4 linked regions of the Schizosaccharomyces pombe genome follow. Changing the gene in region 1 together with any one later gene gives a genetic interaction. Each region holds a gene or a part of one and is shown on either strand. Other genes may lie near its edges. The genes, in order: SPOM_SPBPB10D8.02C, dca7, sea2 and sqs2.

Evidence for each region.
Region 2: mutations in SPOM_SPBPB10D8.02C (region 1) and dca7 together harm fitness less than expected from each alone (positive genetic interaction), as found in Schizosaccharomyces pombe (one large-scale study listed by BioGRID).
Region 3: mutations in SPOM_SPBPB10D8.02C (region 1) and sea2 together harm fitness less than expected from each alone (positive genetic interaction), as found in Schizosaccharomyces pombe (one large-scale study listed by BioGRID).
Region 4: mutations in SPOM_SPBPB10D8.02C (region 1) and sqs2 together harm fitness more than expected from each alone (negative genetic interaction), as found in Schizosaccharomyces pombe (one large-scale study listed by BioGRID).

What each region holds. Positions count from the first base shown.
Region 1 is NC_003423.3:82,278-88,177, forward strand, and holds SPOM_SPBPB10D8.02C (arylsulfatase), read right to left. Parts: upstream 3,242-5,900; 5' UTR 3,155-3,241; coding exon 1,490-3,154; 3' UTR 952-1,489; downstream 1-951. Other genes in the region: SPOM_SPBPB10D8.01 (cysteine transporter), read left to right, coding at 1-676.
Region 2 is NC_003423.3:3,321,918-3,327,150, reverse strand, and holds dca7 (WD repeat-containing protein), read right to left. Parts: upstream 3,149-5,233; 5' UTR 3,123-3,148; coding exon 2,880-3,122; intron 2,765-2,879; coding exon 2,531-2,764; exon of another isoform or gene 2,511-2,530; intron 2,491-2,510; coding exon 2,249-2,490; intron 2,224-2,248; exon of another isoform or gene 2,185-2,223; coding exon 1,627-2,184; intron 1,583-1,626; coding exon 1,552-1,582; 3' UTR 1,140-1,551; downstream 1-1,139. Other genes in the region: transcriptional regulatory protein Spp41, read right to left, coding at 1-57, 105-159; proteasome regulatory subunit Rpn2, read left to right, coding at 4,310-4,355, 4,417-5,233.
Region 3 is NC_003424.3:2,654,943-2,663,699, forward strand, and holds sea2 (SEACAT complex subunit Sea2), read right to left. Parts: upstream 6,114-8,757; 5' UTR 5,643-6,113; coding exon 3,102-5,642; 3' UTR 2,888-3,101; downstream 1-2,887. Other genes in the region: U5 snRNP complex subunit Spp42, read left to right, coding at 1-2,887; SM22/transgelin-like actin-modulating protein Stg1, read left to right, coding at 6,859-7,383.
Region 4 is NC_003421.2:1,790,000-1,794,520, reverse strand, and holds sqs2 (G-patch type RNA-binding protein), read left to right. Parts: upstream 1-2,446; 5' UTR 2,447-2,611; coding exon 2,612-3,175; 3' UTR 3,176-3,710; downstream 3,711-4,521. Other genes in the region: protein Cox18, read left to right, coding at 147-755; hnt1 (adenosine 5'-monophosphoramidase), read left to right, coding at 1,283-1,684; CDP-diacylglycerol-serine O-phosphatidyltransferase Pps1, read right to left, coding at 3,750-3,754, 3,838-4,201, 4,485-4,521.

The sequences.
Region 1 (5,900 bases):
ACTTTCCAACAATTTAGCTTACCAACAAAATTTACTTTTTACAAGCTTGAATGTTTCTGATTTGAATTCTACCTTGGTGGGCGTCGCTAGTGCCGGATATAATTGCGTTAGCGCAATTATAGCAACTTATATGATGAGTGTGATAAAAAACCAAAGTGCCTTTCACGGAGCTATATGGTATATCCCAAGTATTGCCGGAGGAATTGCGTGCGTAGCCATGTCATGGGATCATAAAATTGGGGAGTTAGCAGCTATTATTATAGCAAGCAATTTTGGTATCCCTTTTATTATTTCTCTTGGATGGACAACAGCCTCTTGTGCTGGATACACAAAGAAGCTTACTCGTGGTGTTATGTTTATGATTGGATATGCCATTGCCAACATCATTGGCCCACAAATGTGGCAGAGTCGTGATGCCCCGAGATATTATCCTGCTTGGATTGTTCAAATAGTAATTGCTTGGTCTGTTTCTCCCTTTGTATTGCTGATCATTCGCTGGATTCTTGTTCGAAGGAACAAAAAGCGCCTTGCTCTTCTTGAGCAGAATAAAGAACAGTATGAAAAGACTTGGATTGAGACGATTGATTCTTCTGGAAATCACGTTTCCGGTTTTTACGAAAATTCTATGCTTGATTTGACAGACCAGGAGAACCTATCGTTTATTTATCCCTTATAATTATCCATTTAAACGAAGGAATAAATCTTAAAAAATAACTTTTTGAAGTATTCATGAGAAATGTTTACAAAATAATTTCAAATTCCCAACAGTCATGAAAAATCCTTCTACTATTTGCTTTTTTTTTTGCAAAATTTTGTATTTTTAAACTACTTGCCCGTAAACTCTTAACTTATTTTAGACTACTACAAGACAGTTGCTTTATTTACTTGTTTTTTTGTTTCCTTTAGGATTCCTAACCTTTAATAGTAATCTTCGTCTTTAGCGAAGAATAGTTTGAAATTTTGTTTGTATATATTGCTGAAAGCTTTATTCAGTTACTATTTACATAGATTGAAAAGAAGAACTAGCATTCATTGCTAAATAAAATGGAGGTCGATTTTTATCCCCAATGGTTTCTCATAGTTTACTTTGCTGCAAAGTTGCGATTGAAAAAGAGATGTTCTAAAAAAGTATTTTTATATCAATTATAAAGCCTAATACGTAGGGGAAATCCAAACCAGTTAAATTTTTCAGCTCGGCTTTGCATTCCATCTGATAATTTTCGCTGTAGATTATCATATTTAAAAAACATTGAATCAATTGGTAACTTAGCATATATACGTTGATAGATGAAATCAGCTATTATTAGATTTTATAATCTTTAAACTGTGGTGTTTAATAAGTAAAAGACTGGAAATAGCCCATTAAATTAAACAATTAGCTGAACCCGAGTTCCATATTTGCAATAAGTTTTTTACCATTAATAAACTGCTATGTGGTGTTTCATTAACAGTAAAAAATTATTGTAAAATTCAATATCATGAATAATCATTAAAGATTGTGCTTAGCTGGTTTGAACAAACCGACGTTTTCGGCAACAAAATCGTCTGGGGCTGTTACTACTCCAGTTTCAGCTTCGTAGACCAACCAATACTCGATGAGTTCGTTTAGAATATCTGGATGGACTTTCGCTAGATTTTCAAGCTCACCTTTGTCCTGGGAAAGATCATACAGCTCCCATTCTGTTTTTATTCCTTCTTTAGGTACATATATTGCCTTATAATTTCCTTTTCTGATAGCTCTTTGCCCGAAAAGTTCCCAGCCGCTAAAGTCAGTATCTTTGTGTACGGGTTTTCCATGCACAAAATGGTCAATCCAAGGTTTCCCACGGGGGATTACAACATCTCGTCCTTGAAATTTGTGCCCTGGGTGAGGGACTTCTGCTAACTCAAGGATGGTTGGCAGGATATCCATAACCGTAACAAACTCATCGGAGATGATGTCTGGCTTGATCAATGGAGGATAGCGAATTATAGCAGGACATCGAATACCACCTTCTGTAATAAAACCCTTGCTAAGTCGAGAAGGAGCGGTCGCAGCCTGTGCCCATCTTGGTCCGTACCAAATAAATGAATTATAATTACCCAAGTTTTCCAGTGAATTGTCAAAATACTTAACCGGTGGTTTTGTGCTTAATACCGGGATTGCTTCCAAAACTGACCCTTCTGCACCGTTGTCTGACATAAATATAACAAATGTGTTGTCAAGTTCTCCAATAGTTTTCAAGTAGTCAATAACACGACCAATATTCAAATCTAATAATTCGACCATTGCAGCATAAACTTCCATCGTTCGCGCAGAAAATTCTTTCTCTTCTGTTGTTAGTTCGTCCCATGACTTGGTTCCCATTCCATCTACAGGTGCTGGAATTACATTTTCTGGTATAAGTCCCAAATCCTTTTGGGCTTGCAAGCGATTTTTTCGTAACACATCGGGGCCTTCACTATATCGTCCACGATATTTATTAATATATTCTTTTGGTGATTGCAACGGCCAATGAGGTGCTGTAAATGGGAGGTAAGCAAAAAATGACTGGGATTTTTCACGATTTTTTAACTGATCAATTAATTTTTCTGCAAAGTAATTGGACGAATAAAAATTTTTTAAGCTTTTGTGATCAACAGGATCATGATTGTGGGTATACAATGGTGGTAAAAAAGGTACAGCAGGGTTTTCTCTAGTACCAGGTTCATATGCAAAATGATTACCACCTCCAGGTAAAAGTGCAAAAGATTCTTTAAATCCTCGCTTTGAAGGGTAACGATCTGGGGTTAGTCCAAGGTGCCACTTTCCAGACATTGTGGTATAGTAACCCGCTTCCTGTAGAATCTCTGGTAATGCAGCAACTCTATCATTTAGGTAGCCTTCGTACCCAGGCTTTCCACCCCATACTTTCGAAAACCTGCGTACTGTCTCTGCCATTTGCCCTAAACCTGCTATGTGATTGTCTGTACCGCTTAATAACATAGATCGAGTAGGCGAGCAAGCAGAGGCTGTATGAAAGTTTGTCAACCGTACACCTTCCTTTGCAAGCCTCTCAATATTTGGAGTGTGTATTTCACTTCCAAACGGAGAAACATCTGACCATCCAAGATCGTCAGCTACGATGACCAAAAAGTTTGGTTTTTTAGATTCAGCTTGTTTATTAAAAGCCATAGTTACTATTCAAATTTTTTTTGATTGCGAATAAATTTTTATGCAGCTCAAACTGTAATTTTTATTTTATGTTCATAAAGGGCATGTGAGACAAGAGACAGCCCACAAGTTGATTAAAATATGAAAAAATATATTTGCAACAATTGTCTTCCGTAATAGATTGCAAAATTACAAATACCTAATGAAGAAGTATGGCGTGCTATCACGTAAGCTTTGAGTAACATCATCCATATTAAAAAAGATACTCATACATTCCAATTTACTGGATCAAACTGTAATTTACTTATCTGAATATTTTAGAGATAAGATTCAGTAAATCAAGTTTAAAACTAATTACTGTCACTCACTCAATATGTGCAAAACTGAGTTTACTGACCAGGAATTGACTTTTTTTTTTTATTTATCAAGGAAATATTAATTGAGTTATCAATCCCAAAGGAAAATATGTGAAAATATTTAAACACTCGCCAAATTATATTAATTGATCTTTATATCAATAAATGCTTTACTCTAGAAAAAATCGGTTTCGGTAATATACTACAAAGGAACCTAAATAGATTTTGAAGCTTTATACATATAAGAAAACATTAATTTTCTAAAAGATACCAAATGATAATTAACAAGGACGTCGATTTTCGTTATTTTGAACTTTCAACGAGAAATGTCAGTGGAAGATTCAACATATTTTCTATGAGATAAATTAGATATAATAACATTTTGCTTTTGACAATAACTGAGAAAAATCATATTTATACCTAGATTTGTTGAGTGATACGAATTTCATACAATTTAATGGGGGTAAACTGCGATTAAAATTACGTTTTGGTCCTTTGTATTGTCTTATTGATATGAAATATCAGACACGAATATTTTCATACTAAGTGGTAATAATTAATTTACAACTGACCTCGGATTCTCTTTTCGTTTGAAATTAAAATAATACTTAATTATTACAATTGGAATTTAATAATCTCGATTAGTGGACGTAATATATATGAAGATATGAAGAGTATAAAAGTATCGAGATGTATCATAATAAAGCTTAATGCTATATATCTGAAGATTTTTTTCTTGGTAAATTGTTTCCGTAACTAAGGGCCGTCCAATAATTAGACTTCCTAAGTTCAAAAATAGTGGACCAATTGTTAAAAAATACAGATAAAGAACATCTTAAGACATTCACAATATACAAAAACAACTTGTTTCAATTGTAGGAACTTGTAAAGTTAAAGGATTAAGTTGTTGTACAGAAAGGATCTTTGCGTAATGTTGGATCCGAGAAAAGATGTAACATTCTCAAACAATCCATACATCATTTCCCTTCAACGCACTTTTGGTACTATCAATTGCAATTATAAGTGAATTCAAATTATATCAAAAGAGTTACGTAAATTCATATTTATCAGATTTGGTCTGATATTATGTTAAAGTGTAAACTTATTGAGCAGCACCCACTATTTTCTTTTTACTCATTATTATATCGGATGTATTCAAACTTGGTTTACATTTAAATAGTAATAGCAAATCGTTTTAATTACAAATTAGAATTTACACGTGTTAAGTTGTCATTGTTACTCGGTAAATGCATCCTAGATTATGACTATAATAATTTTGTTTAAACATTCCTTTTCTTAGCATGTTTTCATTTGTGTTCGATGGGTAAAAAGCTAATAATATTATTATAAAATAAGCTGTATTATAATAATAGGTTGTCTGAGCCGAAGCAAGTAATTGTGCTAACTACATTCCCATATACGCTTATTATTGCAAGGAATTTTAAATGACTTGGAAATGATTAAAAAGCAAAATTAATTGGCTGTTCACTTTTATATATAATGTAGCGGCATGTAAAGTGCTACTAGTATAGGCATATAAATATTTATTTGAGCGGACATCTTTTTTTAACTATAGTACTTGGAAAAATCGTATACGGTGGATCATTAGCTGATTAAACCAGAAATATTACAACTTAGTTCAACAACGCATTATTGAAAGTGAAAGCGAGTCCTCAGATGAGCAACATGAAGTATATCAAAATGGTATTATCTACGATACTGATTAAAAGGATGAAGCATCTATATTTGAGAAATTAGGTGATGATGAATCTGCTCATGAGGACAATATGCTTGAACTTGGAGAGCCCTAGGAATTTTCGAAATTTTTTTGGAAACGGAGAAAGCTAGATCCAAACTCCATTACAACAAAAAAATCCATTTTTGATGATCCTAATACGTTAGCTGCTTTCAAACCTAGTCCTTACTATGAAAGTAGACACCGCATCGATCCTTTTTTTAGATGGATATGGGTCAGGAACAAAAAGTTGTTCGTAAAATAGATATGCTCATTATTTCATGGGCATTCATTATGTTTTTTGCACTAGAATTAGATCGTGCCAATATTCAACAAGCCCTTTCAGATAACATGTTGGATGATTTAGGAATGAATACTAATGATTACAATAAGGGTATGACAATATTTTATTGTTCCTTTTTAGCGGCAAAACTGCCATCTCAATTAATTAGCAAGAAGATAGGTCCCAATCGCTGGATTCCAACCCAAATGGTTTTATGGAGCATTGTTTATATTTGTCAATATTCTTTAAGTGGAACAGCATTATTTTAAATTATGAGATGGCTTCTAGGTATGCTTGAAGGAGGGTTTATTCCCGTCGTCATCTTGTATTAATCTTATTTTTATAATGGACAAGAAATCTCTTTACGCTTAGCAATTTTTTTGGATTTCTAAT
Region 2 (5,233 bases), 3.2 Mb from region 1:
CGAAGTGCTCCGTAGCTCCATATGTTCTCCGTTCACTTTGATAAGAAACCTTCAGGTCTGCATGAATCGTTAAACTCGTCTACCAGAACGTAACGTAGATTCACTAAAAACATATGTGTAACGAATGCGCAACAAATAGTCCAAATATACAGCTTTCATTCTTTCATCCAAGCGGACATTAAGTACTAGAATAAATCATAATTCGCCGCTATAAACCATAGTCCCTTATTCTTTCCTCATTTAGAAAAGACTGCTGGAGGTTTGCACGATTTAGGATTGTTCAGTAACAAAATACTGTTTATTATCTTCATTTGCACATACAGTGTGCTAATATATGTACCATTTACATAATTAAAGATACGCGTGGAGACTTCAGTTAGGATTTGAACATCGCGTAAATCAGGAATTACGCGTTTTTATTTATCGGAAACATGACTATAGATTTTGTAAACAGAGTCTTGCCCAGCTGTATACCAAAGTTCCGTTTTATAAGTATTAAAGCAACGTCACAAAGCAGTCTTCTGTGACTGAATTCTTGACTGCTTCTTAACGAATTCATACTGCACTGCAGTTCTTAGCTGTTATGATCATCACTATCTATTTTAGTGTGGTAGCTAACGACAAGAGTAAATTTAAGCTAATATACCATGCTACGTTAATACAAGCGAAGTTAAACGAAGTTAAAAAATCTATGTGTCACTGTACTTGTCAAATCAAAGTTAGTTATGACAAAATCGTTACTAATTGCTATTTAATTGAATCCATAATAAAAGCATTAATATTTTCTTTACTAGTAGGTAATCCCTATCTCTTTTCATTTACACATATGGATGTAACGCTTAATGTGTTTTGTGTTCCATGCATCGCATTCACAGCATGCAGCTGATTTTTTGTAGTAATCAGCCATGGCTTCTGATTTATGATTTATCAAATCGTTTACAATTCCACATGTGTTACATTTTGCGGTAAATTTGCTTCATTAATCAAAAAACGTAAAGTATTTTAAGCTCCTGCCGCACTAATTTAACAAACAGAGATTTCACTTCATAACAATAATAGAATAAGACTATTCAAAGTTTTAATCGATGTAGAAAGCTAAATTAAAAAAATTCTGTAAAAGTTGCTTGACTCCTTATCATTTGAAAACACGTATCGCCCTAGAGCTTTGTACATTTCCAGCGTTGCTGAGATACGCAAATGAAAGTGGAAATTGCATAAACATTGCGCTTGAATGTGCAAACCCAATTGCCAAAAGTTTCCGAAAGACATGTAGTTGATTTGAAAAAACCATAGTTCAACACGCAACTCATAGGGTTCTATTTCCAAATTTTCTCAAAAACAAACATAACTTTTTTGAATTTTATTAATAGTTAACAAGAAGACAACGAAGGACAACATAAAATGCCTAACTAGCTTTGCTTGACAAAGTAATTAAGCAAATGAAAAAAGCGTAAGAAATTTATTCCTCAGTGTATTTGCATTCATAATCTAATTTTTTTTTAATTTTTTTAAATTGAAATGCGTAAAACAACACTAATCACAAAATCTAGATCATTGAGGGACCTTCAGTATTTCAAGGGATCTAAAAAAAGATGTTAATATTTATTTTACTCCAAAAGTGCTTACTTTCCGTAAACAACCGCTAATCCGTCGTTTTTTACAGACCAGCTTAGATTGTTCACTTCGTGTTCCAACTTCCAAGATAGTAAGGGAGAATACTGGTTATCAGCATTCAACGGAGAAGCCGTCTCACGCATAGAATTCACCGACGAAACGGGTGTCACATATTCTGAAGTCGAGCCCGTCATACCAGGTGTAGTTCCAGATACACTCAGCGTTGGAGCTGGGGAAGGATTAACTGGCTGATCCAAATCCCATAAGGAAACGACACAGTCGTCCCCACAAGTGGCTAATTTTGATTTAGAGCCCGGCATCCATTTAACCGCATTCACGTCCCCCTTATGTCCACGCAAAGTGGCATAAGCAGTTCCCGGCACTCGGATGTCAATCATTTGGACGTCAGAAGAATTATGGTGGAAAGTTGCCATTAAATTAACATCGGAATCGCAAGCAGAAAGTCGAAGTAAAGGAGCTGAGACAGGAGGAGAAGCATTTGTATAGTCACCGTTTCTCTTCCAAAAGGTGCTATCGCCCTCATATATGATCGTGGAATGATCCAATGATCTAAAGAAAGTTAACAAACTACTGTCAAAAGGAAAAATCCAATTGCCGATTGTGGATCGCATACCTCAAGTCAAACATGCGGACGCTGCCATCAGCTCCTACGCTAACAAAAACATTGATACTGTCCTTGAGAAACGCAACGTCATAAACTTCTTTGTCGTGAGCAATTAATTGTGTTTTTGATTGCTGGGCTACAATGTCCCAAACTGTGCAAGTGGTATCAAGGCTACTCACTACGATATATGAAGGATCAGTTTTGCACCAATCAAACGAAGTTAGAGGAGCATTATTATGAGTTTTTACATGCTATAACATTAGTCGCCAAGAAGAAAAAAGAAAATCATACGGTAGATAAAGAGGCTTGACATAACAAAGGAGAATCAATCCCCGCTTCAAAATCGGTTTTCCATAATCGCAATTGCTGATCCGTAGAAGCTAGCAACTGGGAGTCGGTGTTAGAACCAACCGATGAAGGATTCCATAACAACTTCGTAACTGGGTATTCAAGATCAGTTGCTGCTTGCGCCTTTTCCAAGTGAGAATTTCCATCATCCCCAGTTATTAGTTTTAACAATTGTATCTAAACAATTTTTTGGTTAGTAACTTCGTAGAACAGAGTACATCTTTGGAGTCTATGCCAAAAGAAGCACAGATAAAATTATATAATATTTCCCCTGGTTTTGCAATTAGCATACCATATTATTTGGTTCTTCATTCAAACTTCCCATAGCAATCCATTCACTAGAATATTTTCCTTGTTTTAACCAATCCAAGGCAAATGGAATCCACGGTGCATTGTATCCAGTATATTCTTTTCCCGCTTCAAATTTGTTAGGCAGTTGTCTTTTGGGCGATCCGTAGAATTTGCCAAGTGAATCAAGTACTGATTTTCCAACGCCAGCAGATATTGAATACCTATTTCTACGTAAATCTGTCATTGTGCGCGAAGTGTGGATATTGGGATAAAGTAAGTAAGCGCCCCACTTATGATGTATATTCAATACAAAGCAAACAGCGAATACCGGCTGCAAAGCGAAAACGCAAAAATGAAGAATTGTTTTATTATATTTGTAATTTTTTTCCTATTCAATAATTTTTTAGTAAATTAAAAGAAGCGACTGCGTACAATTGCTTCACCCTTTTTTGTTGATTGACCTTTGATCCCGTACTCAGCGCTTCCGTTAAGGTATCATTACATATACATTAATATCATTGTATGCGTGAAACACAGAATTTTTTATATCTATTTAGAGTTAAGATAGTTATGTTTTAACAAAATACATTTCGGGTTACTTTAGCTTCTGTTTGCTTCCAGTTTGACGACATCGAAAAATGTCCATTCAATTAACATGCCAGCAATAAAAAACAGTGGTTTTAATAAAGCCAAAAACATTGTGGCATGGGAAGGCCTCGATATCATTTCTGGACGCATCCATGTGGCTTAGTTATTTCATTACTGATAGAATTGACTTCGAGAAAAATTATGAAATACATTAAATTTTCTTGATCAAACAGTTCATTTGCAAAGCTACTGAACCATGATAATTGTTATATTACATTGTATTTGTAAAGTAATATTGTACTAGGCATTGATACGTACTGCAAGTTAAACGAATGATCCCAGCGTAATATATACTATCAAAAAATACTAATGAAAGTATAACTGTGAAGTCAAACAACTATAATGCTTTAAAAAAAAAATTCGACAAAAATTAGCTACTTTGTTAAGCTAAAGACTATAAATTTATCGATACTAAAAGCGAATGATAAGAAGGCAATGAGAATCATATTATAGAACGATCAGAATAGCTTTACTTAGTTCGTTCATTTTGATACGATACTCATATAAATCCCTCATTGGGTTGAGATATCTTACATAGTTGATGAAACATACAATTTGACTTTTTTCGATAATACTGAATATTATTTAGGTGGTGTGGTGTGGATAACATGATATAGCATTACATTTAATATACCTGAAACATTTATTGGTACAAGTGCCCTACCCTTACCGAATGTGTTGGTGGAATGAAGCACAACGGTTCAGGGTATTTACCAACAACGAAACACCACCTGCTGTTATATAGTTTGTAAGATTTAAATAAACAGGTCTAGTTTCGTCGAAATGACTATGGTGTACTCTGATAACACCTCTATTATAACGTCAGCAGGTACGTCGAGCGTTAAACAATGAAAAAATGTAGAAATCATGTTCACTAATCCTTTTGATAGGTGGTTTGATGGCCCTGCTGGACGAGCAAGAGCGAGAATTACAAGTACATGCTTTACTAAAAATTTATGAGTTTATTGATCAATTATGGCCGGAAATATCGGATGATGTTACGAAAATTGAGGTTATGTATGAGGACCATTCATTTCCTGAACGCGAATTAGCAGCCTTGGTAGTCTCAAAAGTTTATTATTACCTTGGAGAATATGATGAGGCTCTTTTGTTTGCCTTGTCAAGTGGTCCAAAGTTTTTGCATGACAAAAATAGTGATTACAAAGAAACACTAATTTTCAAATGTATTGATATGTTTATTCATAAAAGTGCAGAGTTGTACAAAAATCCAAAGGCTGACCCCTTGGACGAGAGACTAAGTGGCGTAGTCGAGGGCATTTTTCAAAAATGTTATGCTAAAAACGAATGGAGACATGTTTTGGGAATTGCTATCGAGGCTCATCGACTTGACATTATTGAATACATTTTAAATGCAGACAAAGAGACAGATTTAAAGCCTTATGTACTGGAACTTGCAATGACTGTTGTTTTAGACATTGAATTCCGAAACCGCTTACTTCGTCTATTACTAAGTTCTTTTCTGACAGAAACAGAACCTGATTATTTCTCAGTTGGAAAATGCGTTGTTCATTTGAACGATGCCTCTGTTGCAGCCAAACTTTTAATGAAACTATCTTCTCAAAACGATGACAAAAGCTTATTGACAGCGTATCAATTAGCCTTTGATCTTGAAGATTCGGCTCCACAAGAGTTTTTAAATAGTGTGATGGATTTGCTTCCTTCTCCCTCTGTGGCCAATTCCGAAGA
Region 3 (8,757 bases), on another chromosome or scaffold:
GTTTATTGACTCTCAGCGTGTATGGGCTGAGTATGCAATGAAGAGACAAGAAGCTCTACAACAAAATCGTCGTTTAACTTTAGAGGATCTGGAAGATTCATGGGATCGAGGAATTCCTCGTATAAATACTCTATTTCAAAAAGATAGACACACATTGGCATATGATAAAGGATGGCGTGTTAGGACTGAGTTTAAGCAGTACCAGCTCCTTAAAAACAATCCATTCTGGTGGACGAGTCAAAGACATGATGGAAAATTATGGCAATTAAATAATTACCGAGTAGATGTCATTCAGGCTTTAGGTGGTGTCGAAGGTATTTTGGAGCATACGATGTTTAAAGCTACTGGATTTCCTTCATGGGAAGGTCTTTTTTGGGAAAAAGCATCTGGTTTTGAAGAATCCATGAAGTTCAAAAAGCTTACTAATGCTCAGCGTTCAGGTTTAAATCAAATCCCTAACCGTAGATTTACGCTTTGGTGGAGTCCCACTATCAATCGTGCTAACGTTTATGTCGGATTTCAAGTACAACTGGATTTGACTGGAATCATGATGCATGGCAAAATTCCAACCCTGAAGATTTCACTCATTCAAATTTTTCGTTCTCATTTATGGCAAAAAATTCATGAATCTGTTGTTTGGGATTTGTGTCAAGTGCTTGACCAAGAATTAGAGTCATTGCAAATTGAAACAGTCCAAAAAGAAACTATCCATCCTCGTAAAAGTTATAAAATGAATAGTTCTTGTGCAGATATCCTCCTTTTGGCTGCCTATAAATGGAACGTATCAAGGCCATCCTTATTGAACGATAATCGCGATGTGCTTGACAACACTACCACCAACAAATATTGGATTGATGTACAACTTCGATTTGGAGATTATGATTCTCATGATATTGAACGTTATACTAGAGCTAAATTTTTGGATTATAGCACTGATGCTCAAAGCATGTATCCTTCACCGACCGGTGTCTTAATCGGCATTGATCTTTGTTACAATATGCATAGTGCATATGGTAACTGGATTCCTGGTATGAAACCATTAATTCAACAGAGCATGAACAAGATCATGAAAGCCAATCCAGCCTTATATGTGTTGCGTGAACGCATACGAAAAGGTCTTCAATTATATGCTTCTGAACCCCAAGAGCAGTATTTGTCCTCCTCAAATTATGCTGAACTCTTTAGTAATCAAATTCAATTATTCGTTGATGATACTAATGTTTATCGGGTTACCATTCATAAAACATTTGAAGGTAATTTGACTACGAAACCCATTAATGGTGCTATTTTTATATTCAATCCGAGAACTGGTCAATTGTTCTTAAAAGTTATTCATACGTCAGTTTGGGCGGGACAAAAACGATTGGGACAATTGGCGAAATGGAAGACTGCTGAAGAAGTTGCTGCTTTGATTCGTTCTCTGCCTGTTGAAGAACAACCTCGACAGATTATAGTAACTCGAAAGGGCATGTTGGATCCATTAGAAGTTCATCTTTTGGACTTTCCTAATATAACCATTAAGGGTAGTGAATTACAGCTTCCTTTCCAAGCGATTATTAAACTTGATAAAATCAATGATTTGATTTTACGTGCCACCGAACCGCAAATGGTACTTTTCAATTTATATGATGACTGGCTTCAATCGGTATCATCGTATACAGCTTTTTCACGCTTGATACTTATCTTGCGCGCATTGAATGTCAATACTGAGAAAACGAAGCTAATTCTTAGACCAGACAAGTCTATAATTACAAAAGAGAATCACGTGTGGCCCAACCTGGATGATCAACAATGGCTTGATGTTGAACCGAAACTTAGAGATTTGATCCTTGCTGATTATGCTAAGAAAAACAATATTAACGTTGCTAGTCTTACGAACTCGGAAGTGCGAGATATTATTCTCGGTATGACAATAACGGCTCCTTCTCTTCAACGTCAACAGATAGCTGAAATAGAAAAGCAAGGCCGTGAGAATGCCCAAGTTACGGCTGTCACCACAAAAACTACTAACGTGCATGGTGATGAAATGGTGGTTACTACAACATCTGCGTATGAAAATGAAAAGTTTTCTAGTAAAACAGAATGGAGAAATCGTGCCATATCATCTATCAGTTTACCCCTTCGTACAAAAAACATTTATGTTAACTCTGATAATATCAGCGAAACTTTTCCTTATACATACATTCTTCCTCAAAATCTGCTTCGTAAGTTTGTTACGATATCCGATTTAAGGACACAGGTTGCCGGATATATGTATGGTAAAAGTCCGTCAGACAACCCTCAAATTAAGGAAATTCGTTGTATTGCACTTGTACCACAGCTTGGCAGTATAAGAAATGTGCAGCTTCCTTCTAAACTGCCTCATGATCTTCAGCCTTCTATATTAGAAGACCTTGAGCCCCTTGGTTGGATACACACTCAAAGTTCTGAACTTCCCTATTTATCATCTGTCGATGTAACTACACATGCAAAAATTTTATCTTCTCATCCTGAATGGGATACCAAAGCTGTAACTTTGACAGTGAGCTACATTCCTGGTTCGATATCCTTAGCTGCATATACTGTGTCAAAGGAAGGAATTGAGTGGGGATCAAAAAACATGGATATCAACAGTGATGAAGCTATCGGGTATGAACCTTCTATGGCTGAAAAATGTCAGCTGCTATTGTCCGATAGAATTCAAGGATTTTTCTTGGTACCAGAAGAGGGCGTATGGAATTATAATTTCAATGGTGCAAGCTTCAGTCCTAAAATGACGTACAGTTTAAAACTTGATGTCCCTCTGCCATTCTTTGCTTTAGAGCATAGACCTACTCATGTAATAAGCTATACTGAACTGGAGACGAATGACAGATTAGAGGAAGATATGCCAGATGCATTTGCATGAATGAGGAGCTATTTATTTTCGTAACTGGATTTTGGGCAATTAATGTATATTTTGATTTTTGCTAATTTGAGTGCTTTATGACATCTTGCTTTAGTTAAATGGAATTTAGTGAAAAAGCTAGAAAAATGGGTTTTTAAAATATCCCACATTATCATTATTAGTTTATAGTAATACAAATTTTTCATCAAGTACATATGCGTTAGATTATAGTTTTTTAAATCAGAGCACGTTTATCTAGCAGTTTGACACCGCAGCCGGGAACTGGACATACTGGCAATGCATCGTCTGTATTATCAAAATACCAAGAACGTAGACAGCTTTCATGACCGATGTGGCCACAAACGGGAGGATAAACGAGCACGCCTCTTAACGGTAGCTCACAATAAACACATTTTTTGAGACTAGTAACGGTCTTTGCATTTTCTTTACCTTTTTCGGATTGCTCGTTACCGGTTGCTTTTTTGTTTTCCATTTCAAAAATCAAATCTCTACTACTTGAATGAATGTACTTGAGATTTTTTGAACCAGACATGTTTATAAGGAGAGTAGCTTCACTGAACATTCCGAATCTCCTTAACAAATCAACATAACTTTCAAGTAAATCGTCTAATTGAATCCGTGGTAAATCTATAGTTAGGTATGAAAAAACTGAACAAACGCAGGCTGCCGTTTGGACATCTCCTCGAGATATACAGTCGCTTATAATCGATGTAACAACATAAGGAAGTTCAATAGGAGGTAGATCATCGATAGGAATTTCAGAATCAGTATCTCCATGTAATGATAACTGGTCTAAAAATATAGATGCTCGACGTGAAGAATTACCAGCACTCAATACGGCTTCTCTCGATTTGATTGAAGCAGATGTAACAGAACTTCTGTGGAATGAATTGAACATTTCGTTATGTGACGTACCAGAATAATTTGATGCTGCAGAATCTAGTAAATAGGATGAATTGATGCTTGCCCGGCTATCAGTTGAAAAATTATTAACCGGTGCTTGTCCTTTCTTTAATACGATCGGATTTTCTAAATCATGCCATTGCGATTGCTTATTAAGGACGGCTTTATCGAGATTGTCCTCGGATTCGATAGATGAATTAGAGGATTCTGAAGGAGTAGATGCTTCCCGTGGTTCAAAAAAATCATTTAATGATAAATTATCATGAGCGGGGGTTGAGGACGTTGAAATTTGCGTTAAATTTTTTAAATTTCGACCTTTCTCATCATCAGCCATAGAATTGTTAGCAGAAACAAAAGGAATATTTATTAATTCACTAATTCCTTTATCAGAATTGTTAAGTACCCCTAGTGAAAAATACAAAGCATCCCAAATTTGATAAGCAAATTCAGCTCCAACATTTCGTGCAAAAAATGCGTTCTCTTTACAAGCAGAAGAGATATCTCCTGATATGCGATAATTTTTGGCTAAATAGCAAAATTGAGCAACATCTTCAGAGCGATATGCAAGGATCCCTAGTTCCTGAGGAATGCCAACAAAATTGTGAGGCACAAAAGGAACAGGATTACTTGTGGACCCATCAGAATTTTGAGAGGCATATAAAGCGGACTTTAAAGAGCTGATATTGCTCTCAAAAGATGCGACACGATTTAACGACGACAATCTTTGATTAGAAATAGGATTTGAAGAGAACACAAGGCTATTTTTAGTTGACCATGAACTAGTTGCACGTGGAAGCATATCAATACAATTAAAGGCATTTTCAACTCTCGTCTGAGAAAAAATTCCATCTTTACTACAAGACCAGAGTAGCTCTGTAGAAGCCCAATGCATCGTTGAAACAATACTATCATGACAACTGACGGTTCTGTATGGGATATAAGGCCTAGTAATATCCCAAACATTTATTGCGGTATCACCTACAAGAGAAGAGCTTGCAAGTTGATTAGAACCTCTCGATTGCTGATTAGCCGGTCGCCAACGAACACAATTGAGGGGACTGACATTATTGATAGTTATAAGGGACTTTTTTTTGTTGCTTGTGGAATCCCAAATACGAATAGTCTTATCTCTCCCGCATGACGCTAAAAAAACACCATTAGGACTATAATTAACACACAAAACAACACCATTATGTGCAGCTAATTTTAAAAAAGGAAGTTTTGGAAACCGGATATCCCATTTTTGCAAGATCCCACTGTCATAAGCGGCAACGAACTCATTTGGCTCAGAAGGGGAGAATACGACGTCTCGAGCAGCTTCAGAATTTCCACGAAAAGTGATTGTTGATGAGCTTTCCTTGTAATCCCAAAGCTTAATTAACCCATCCTGAGAGGCTGTTAAAACGTAAGACGGGTGAAATGAAGAGATATCCAATTTATGTACGGCTCGAGAATGCTCATTAAAGTCATAGAGAAGGGCTTCTAAATTAACATCCCATACATTGAGATTACCAAGCGGTGAACATGTAAAAATTAAATTTGAAGCAAAACTACTACCCCACTTTACATCATTGCAAGAGATGTGCTTTGTTTGTGTTGATTTTTGTAGAAGGTCAGAGATGCAAACAGGAGGCTTTGAAGAGTTTGGATTAACAGCTAGAACTTTTAGAAGCTCTCGGCCTGCTACACCCACTTTTGTACGGCTTTTATTTACCGAAATAGCACTGATGGAGGCCTTTACATCAACAACCCAGTCTTGGTAACTAACAAGTCCTTTGGATGACTTTACAGATGTGCTAGCAAGTTGGGCATAAGTAGGTCGCTGAAGGACGTTTGAGTTTCGTGAAGGCATTTACGAATTTGAAAACAAAATGAAGCTGGTAGAGTAGCAGCTGATGCCTTCTAAAATGATTTAGGAAATTTGCATACAGAAAAGGAAACAAGTTCTTAAATATCGGACAGGAAGTCAAAGAAATTGCTGAAGTGAAATGCAAGTATGGTGACACTCACCGTACATTGGTAAAATTAACGTTGCAAGATCGTTCAATAGTAAAAGTCAGAAAAAAGTAGACTATTCTTTATCAAACTATTTGTTTTGATACATTAACCAAAAAGATAAAGTAGAAAAGTAGAGGAGCAACTAACAGTAAGAAAAGTTTCTGCTAATGTAAATATCAAGTCCAATGTTAGTGAACAAATAAGAGCTTTCGAATTTTCAATTATTGAGGAAATTCAATCAGAACAATTACACATCGGAAGTTTTCAAAAGAATAAAAGTTCAAATATAATTTATTTTTACGAAGTTCAGTTGCTTATTGCTTCTAGTAAGTTTGGTTTTGTGAATTTACTTCTGAATCTCGCTATGAATCAGCAATATTGCATCCTGTAACGCTATACTGCATTCCTGTAGAGTTCATTATATAGGTTTCACATTTTACTATGGCATTTGTCGCGTATACATGACTTATGATTTAAAATTTCGTTTACGCTGATTTACAACATTTAAAGAATGGTACTGTTGAGCTTATCTTTCAATGCTTCTTTCGTAGAGTTATAGTAGCTACAATATTAAATATGAAGATAACATGTTATATATGACGATATAAGTAAGCAAAGCCGGTCAGTCCAATGTCAGTTGCACAGTGTCAATCGAAAAAGCGGTTTGCAGTACCTTGTCGGTTTGTATTTTGTAATATAATGATGCTTTCGAAATTAAATAAACAAGTCTTCATTCCATAAACGAATTGTGAAGCAAAGTAATTCGACTCTACTTTATATAGTACTAATTAGTAAGAACAAATCATCAGTTTACCGTACAAGAGTTAGTTTGCTGATAAAGAGTTTACGCAGTCTACTGTACCTTAAACTCAGATACGAATTGCGTAGCTGGAGTTACGCTAAATGATCTATTAAGTCCAGTTGCTACACATTGAATTAAGATGGCACTCGTCAGGCTTATACGAAGCCGCTTTTCACTAACCACCTCTGAAAAACCAAACTGTCATTGGGCGTTCCGTGATATAATTTCTTGGAACTTTTCTTTATTTTTATTTAAATTTTCGTGAGAAATGACGTCTCAACTTGAAAAAGAAGCAAGAGAATGGATCGAAGAAACTTTGCATACGAAATTGAATGCTCAGTTAGACTTACTGGATCAATTACAATCCGGGGTGATTCTTTGCAGAATTTGCAAAGAAGCTTTAGGCGCTAACATTCGATACAAAGAATCTAACATGCCTTTTGTCCAAATGGAAAACATATCTGCCTTCATTAACTATGCACAGCAAGTTGTACATGTTCCTTCACAAGATATGTTTCAAACTTCTGATTTATTTGAGCGGAGAAATGATGAACAGGTTTTAAGAAGTATTCACTCCTTTTCGCGCTATGCCGCGAAAATGTTTCCCGGCAAAGTTCGTGGTTTGGGTCCTAAATTGGCAGAGAAGAAGCCTCGTGTTTTCTCAGCACAGCAGCAGCGTGAGTTTCGAGAAGGCGTAAATAGTCTTCAGTATGGAAGCTTTGATATGCCGACACAGGGAACCGAGAAGATTGCATTTTCTAGACGCAGGGACCCGACCGGAAATATGTATTAGTCTTGTGTAGGGAAAGAGATTGAAGATTGTATAACTTTATATCTTCGCTTCTTGTACTTTTTGATAACTTATTTATTTTCATTCATTCGTAAAATCTGCCGAATCCATAATAGGAGTGAAACGTGAGGTCTTGTAAAAGATGTGTATAAATATAGAAGCTTAAGTTTTGCTTTAAATATTCATAATGATATGTTTTTTTTACGACACTAAAACATAAATTGAATTATAGTTTGATTCGTAGTTTGAAAACACATTTAAAATCTTATGTTTGGTGCTGTATTGCTAGATTTCTCGTCGTATCAAATGACTTAAAAAAGCAATACGACAATTCATTGTTTCATGAGCGTTTCCTTACAAAGCTGCAGAGAAAAAAAAAAATGTTGCAAAAATTAGTTATGGAAGTATCAGTGATTAATAAAAATGCACACTTTATTTATTTATTTTGTTATTTTTGTATTCAATTTCTTAAATGATAAGCAGGTCGGTAAACGTATTTACAAATAGTTTTGTGAGATATTATAAAAAAAAAATGTATGTACATTGAAAATTGCAGAAATACTAGAGATGTTGTTAAAATTGTTTGCTTAAAATTTACTCAAGTCAGAAATTAAATAAAAATTTTAAAGCTTGTATACAAAAGAAAATGCTGGTAGACCAGTTTTGCAAGAAACAAAGTAGATAATAAAATTGCATGTATTGCATTTGTTTAGACATTAGTGTTATTAAAAGAAATCAAACAAATAAGTTTTTAAACATTTAAAGTGTAACAAATCAAACTCTTTTAGAGTAGCAAAAAACCAAGGCTACTGCCATTTCCACATCGCTAAGAGTCAATATAGAGGAAAAAACGTTTGTACATTTTCAAAGTTTATTCTTCCGACAACTTATCACAAATCGAATTTTTATTTTCTAATTTGTACATGATGCTATATTGTTGCTCAACACAAGCAACAATTAGTATTATAGAAAAAAGCGCACAAAATTTCGTCTGCAATGGGGGGAGGGGAGATTTTTTTTTTTTTATTAAAGAAAAAGGTAAATAAAAAATTGTATAAAAATCTCAATATTCACAACAATGGGATTAATAGAAAAGTACTGCTATAAATACATATTTAATGGATATAATCGTACATTACCATGTTTAGTATCGGCATCAGCATCAGCATCAGCATCGGCTTTAATTTTGACGAAACGGGTCCCGCATAAATAAACAAACAAATGGGGCTTTTTTTCCGGGTCGCATTTTCGCATGTACGTATTTCTTTTTACAAAACAAACGATTTACCTTGCAAGCTATTACCCAAGCGAAAAATCTCCTCAAAATATGTAGGTAAGTATTTCTGCGACTAGCAAAGCTAACTTTACCAGTAACCC
Region 4 (4,521 bases), on another chromosome or scaffold:
TACCAGCAAACTCGAAATTTGCCCACCTTCCCAAACCTCATCTCGTGTATGATATTACATCTTCTGCTTTCATGTACACCCATATTTTTCTGAACTACAAAATTTTTTTCTTACGCATTTAAATATAATTTATTAAAAAGGTCAATATGCTTCAAACATTAATAGGCGTTCACTCGTACATGCCATGGTGCTATGAAATTCCGGCAATGGCTATATTCCTTCGTTCTACTATTACATTGCCAATTGCTATTGCAAGCCTTAAAACGGCTCGTCGGTTTGTGCAAGTGCAACCACTGATCAAAGAAGCAAAGAAACGTTGCCGAACAAATACCGATTTCCGTACTGTACGAAAAAAGCTGTACAAAAGGTTCAATTGTCATCCTCTCATGATTTACGCATTGCCTATTACTCAACTACCTTTATTCGCGTTTGCATCTTATCAGTTAAGACAGGCAGTCGATGTATGTCCCGAGAGTATGTCAACAGAGGGTATGCTTTGGTTTACCGATCTCACATTACCAGATCCTCACGGTGTACTACCTGCGGTCCTTGCTGTTACTTATTTAACAAACATGTCTATATTGAAGCGACCTTCGGATTCTCGATTGCTGAAAATATTCAATACCGCTGGTATAATGTCTGCTTTCTTTGTATCTTTTATGGCATTTAAGACTTCTACGGCATTGTCTTTATACTGGACTACCTCTGCAATTTACTCTTTGGTACAAAACGTTGCATTGAGAAAGCTGTTATAGAAGAGCAAGAGTAATTCTACATGTTTGGTTCTGAAAGGTCTTAACAAAATCAAACCTGACTAGTCGAGACTCACATATTATTCCTTCTTTCTTTCCGTACATAATTACCTACATTCTTATGGTAAAGCTAGGTTTTTGATTTGTTATGGCCTACCAAAAGGAAAATCTTTTGTCACAAAACATCTGATCATGGCAAAAACTGACTGAATTAGTAATGAAAAATAAGATACTTTATTATTAAAATGCCAAATAATATTTAATAAATATCATTAGTATTACAGGCTTGTTCGTGTGACATGAGTTTGGCATTTCAAGGATGACTACCTGCAAAGCTTTTTGAGAAATGCAACCTCGCCGATTACTCCATTTTTAAGGAAGAATTTAACTATTGATTTCATGTAAGTCGTTTTTAAAATTTACATTTTTTTTAAAAACATTTGACTTATTCACACTGTTTATTACGTTAACTACGGTAAATTTCGATAATTTTCCCACTTGCACATCCTTGACTTAAGCTAACCACCACTATGAGCTGCATATTTTGTAAAATTGTTAAAGGAGATATTCCTTGTGTGAAACTAGCTGAAACAGCCTTGTCTTTGGCTTTCCTTGATATTGCTCCTACATCTAAGGGACATGCACTAGTTATTCCCAAGGAGCACGCCGCTAAGATGCATGAACTGAGCGATGAGTCTTGTGCAGATATTCTTCCCCTTGTCAAAAAGGTGACAAAGGCTATTGGTCCTGAAAATTACAATGTACTTCAAAACAATGGTCGCATTGCTCACCAATTTGTGGATCATGTTCATTTCCATATCATTCCCAAGCCTAACGAAGAATATGGATTAGGAGTAGGCTGGCCCTCTTATCCTATTTCTCCTGAAGAAATAAAGGCATTGGGCGAGGAAATCAGCTCTAAGATTAAATAGTTTTTTTTTGTTCTGTGTGTCTCGTTGAATCGAAACTTTCCTTGACTTGGCGAGAACTATAAGGAAAACATGAGCCCTGTCTTTGTAGAATAGGCTTGTGTTTTTCATGAAAGTCGTTATTGGGTGTTGTTTGACGTTTATGTTTTTTAGAAATGAAAAGTTTGTTTTATACACTTTTACCTACTTGTTTTACCTTTCCAATGTAAGTAGTTGCTGTTATCTTTGCATAGTTTAAGGTGAATAAAGGGATTTTGTTTAGTAGTGTGCATACGGAATGTATGGTACAAATGTTTGGACCTGTTATTCTAGTGATTAGAAAAGGTGTGTTTGAAGAACATTGTTCAAATTGTAGTCTAAGGTCTAAATATTAATCCATGCAGGGTAGTTGGTTTCCTAATATGAGGTTATGAAACTTGCAGACGGAAAGATTAGTAAATGTGCATCAGAGAATGTTTATTTCCAGTATCATATTATTTTATTGATGACCTAGCTTGTTTTTTTTCTTTTAAGAAAATGAAAGACATCTTGCGGCGTCAACTTAAAACTTGATTGTTTGAAGAAATTTTTGCCGGACAGCATTGAAGAATTCTAGTATTTTTAACATGCAAAATTATATTTGAGCCTTTCTATCAGGGTATTGCTAATAATTGATCAAAACCACTGCGATAGTATTTACTTACCCAAAGTAACAATTATTCATCAACCAAGTCACACTTGGTTTATAGTAGCAAGCTATACTGCACGAACAAAACTTTTATAATTGAGAGCGAATTTGTGGAATAGTCAGGCTTGATTTTAATAAATCCCTATTATTATCCTTGATCTCATAAAATTTAAGTTTCTTGGGTTGTGCATTCTTTATAGCACCAATGCCAACTCAGGCTGGTTTTTGTAAATTTGCTGAATTTTCGAACATTTATTAATACAATGGCAATTATTGTGGAAGACGGTTCTTTTATTACATCTTCTCAATGGGAAAATGTAGAGGCATCTCCAAAACCTCCTCCAAGGAAGCCAAAGATTGTTCAACCAAAAAAGAAGCCATCGAAGCACTTGAGCAATGAGGATGCTTTAGAAAAATATGAAATGCTGTTTGGTGAAAGGAGAAAAGAAGTGGAACTAGATTATATGAGCCACATTGCGGAAGAAGAGACTTCGTTGAGCATGATTGAGTATGATCGTCATTTTGCACTTCAAACTGACGTGAAATTGTCAAAGAAAAGAAAATCCAAACTTGTTGAAATGACTCCTAAAGGTTTGAAAAAAAGGAAACGCGTGCAAATACAGGAAGGAAGTGTGTCAACCAATACAAAAAAGCGTATGGACGGTCATGTTGTTGGTTCTAGCGCTCCCGCTATAAATAATGGCAAAGGAAAACAACTTTTAGAAATGATGGGTTGGTCTCGGGGGAAGGGACTTGGTTCTGAAAACCAAGGAATGGTTGATCCGGTTGTGGCTGTTGTAAAAAATAATAAACAGGGTCTTCATTAGTTTTTGACGAGGAGATTTTAAATCCTCATAGTGTATATTTACAAAACATTATTTATTTAGAAGGAAAAATTACTTTTCACCATCATTTTGGGAAAGTTTCTTTTTTATAAAGAATTTTATTTTTGGTTGCTCATCATGATGACTATATAAGAAATAATAATTAAAGGAATTTTACTATATTTTACCGTTGAGGGTACAATCACTTGAAATAATTCAATTTCATAAGTTTTTCATAAAGAGAGCAATAGAAAACTGGTAAGTTGAAAAACAGCTTCTAATTGTTAAAAGGACGGAAATACATATTTGGAAAAGGGGGAAGGAATGAACAATGATGAGTGCATTTACGTTAAAAATGGTTAAGTCGAATAGGTGAAGGACAGACTTATCTTCGAAATGGAAGAAAAAAGGAAAAACAGGATATGAGAAGAGATTCAGTAAGGATTATAAATTTAAGAGAGGAAAAGGCTTCGCATGCGAGTAACATCAAAAGCAAAAAGTGAAAAAAACTGTGTATACCCAGATCGCTGTACTGTAAAGTTTCATTTGGATTCTATTGAATAAAAGCATCAGTTGATCAAACTAAAAAATCGATCAGTTAATATAAACAAAATAAAAAAAAAGAGCATTCTAAACATATTTGAGCGAATGTAATAGAAACGTACTTTTTGGAACTTTGAGTTTCTTACTAGTCATAGCAATTCCACTCAACACAAACAAAACCACAAGCGGGTGAAATGCAAAAGGTGTGTTTCCACACCACTCACCCCAAGGTAGATTTTCATGAGTCTTTCCCTTTAAGATACAAACTCCGCAAACGGTTACTAAGGAGAGGGTGGTAGGAATGGGCGTTCCTTCGAAAAACTGAGACTTGCCAGATCCATCTTTAGGAATGGAATTGACAGAAACATTAAAACGAGCCAATCTAGTTAGACCACACAAAACAAAAAGGGAAAGTATAACGGTATCAAGGAACGTTTGGAATCCACAACAAAAGGCAAAGACGGCTGGAGATACGCCAAATGAAATCTATTTTGTTAGTATAATGATATAAAAAGACCGGATAAGAGAGAGAAAAAATATATATAATCAAGAATTATACGCAATCGCATGTTTATTGAGAAAAATTCAGACTCATTGAACAAACCGACATAATGTAAAAAACGAGAAGCAAAAAAAAAAAGCTCGACTTAGCTAAAATGAAGAAAAAATTCAACCAAAGAAGCCTCTTATCATGTTCCTCGTGTTTTTATCATGTCAAAGCAACCAATGTGAAAATAGTCTCGGAACAGATTTGAGAAGTTATACATACCAGATCAGCAAGACTATCCAATTCCTGACCCATTAAG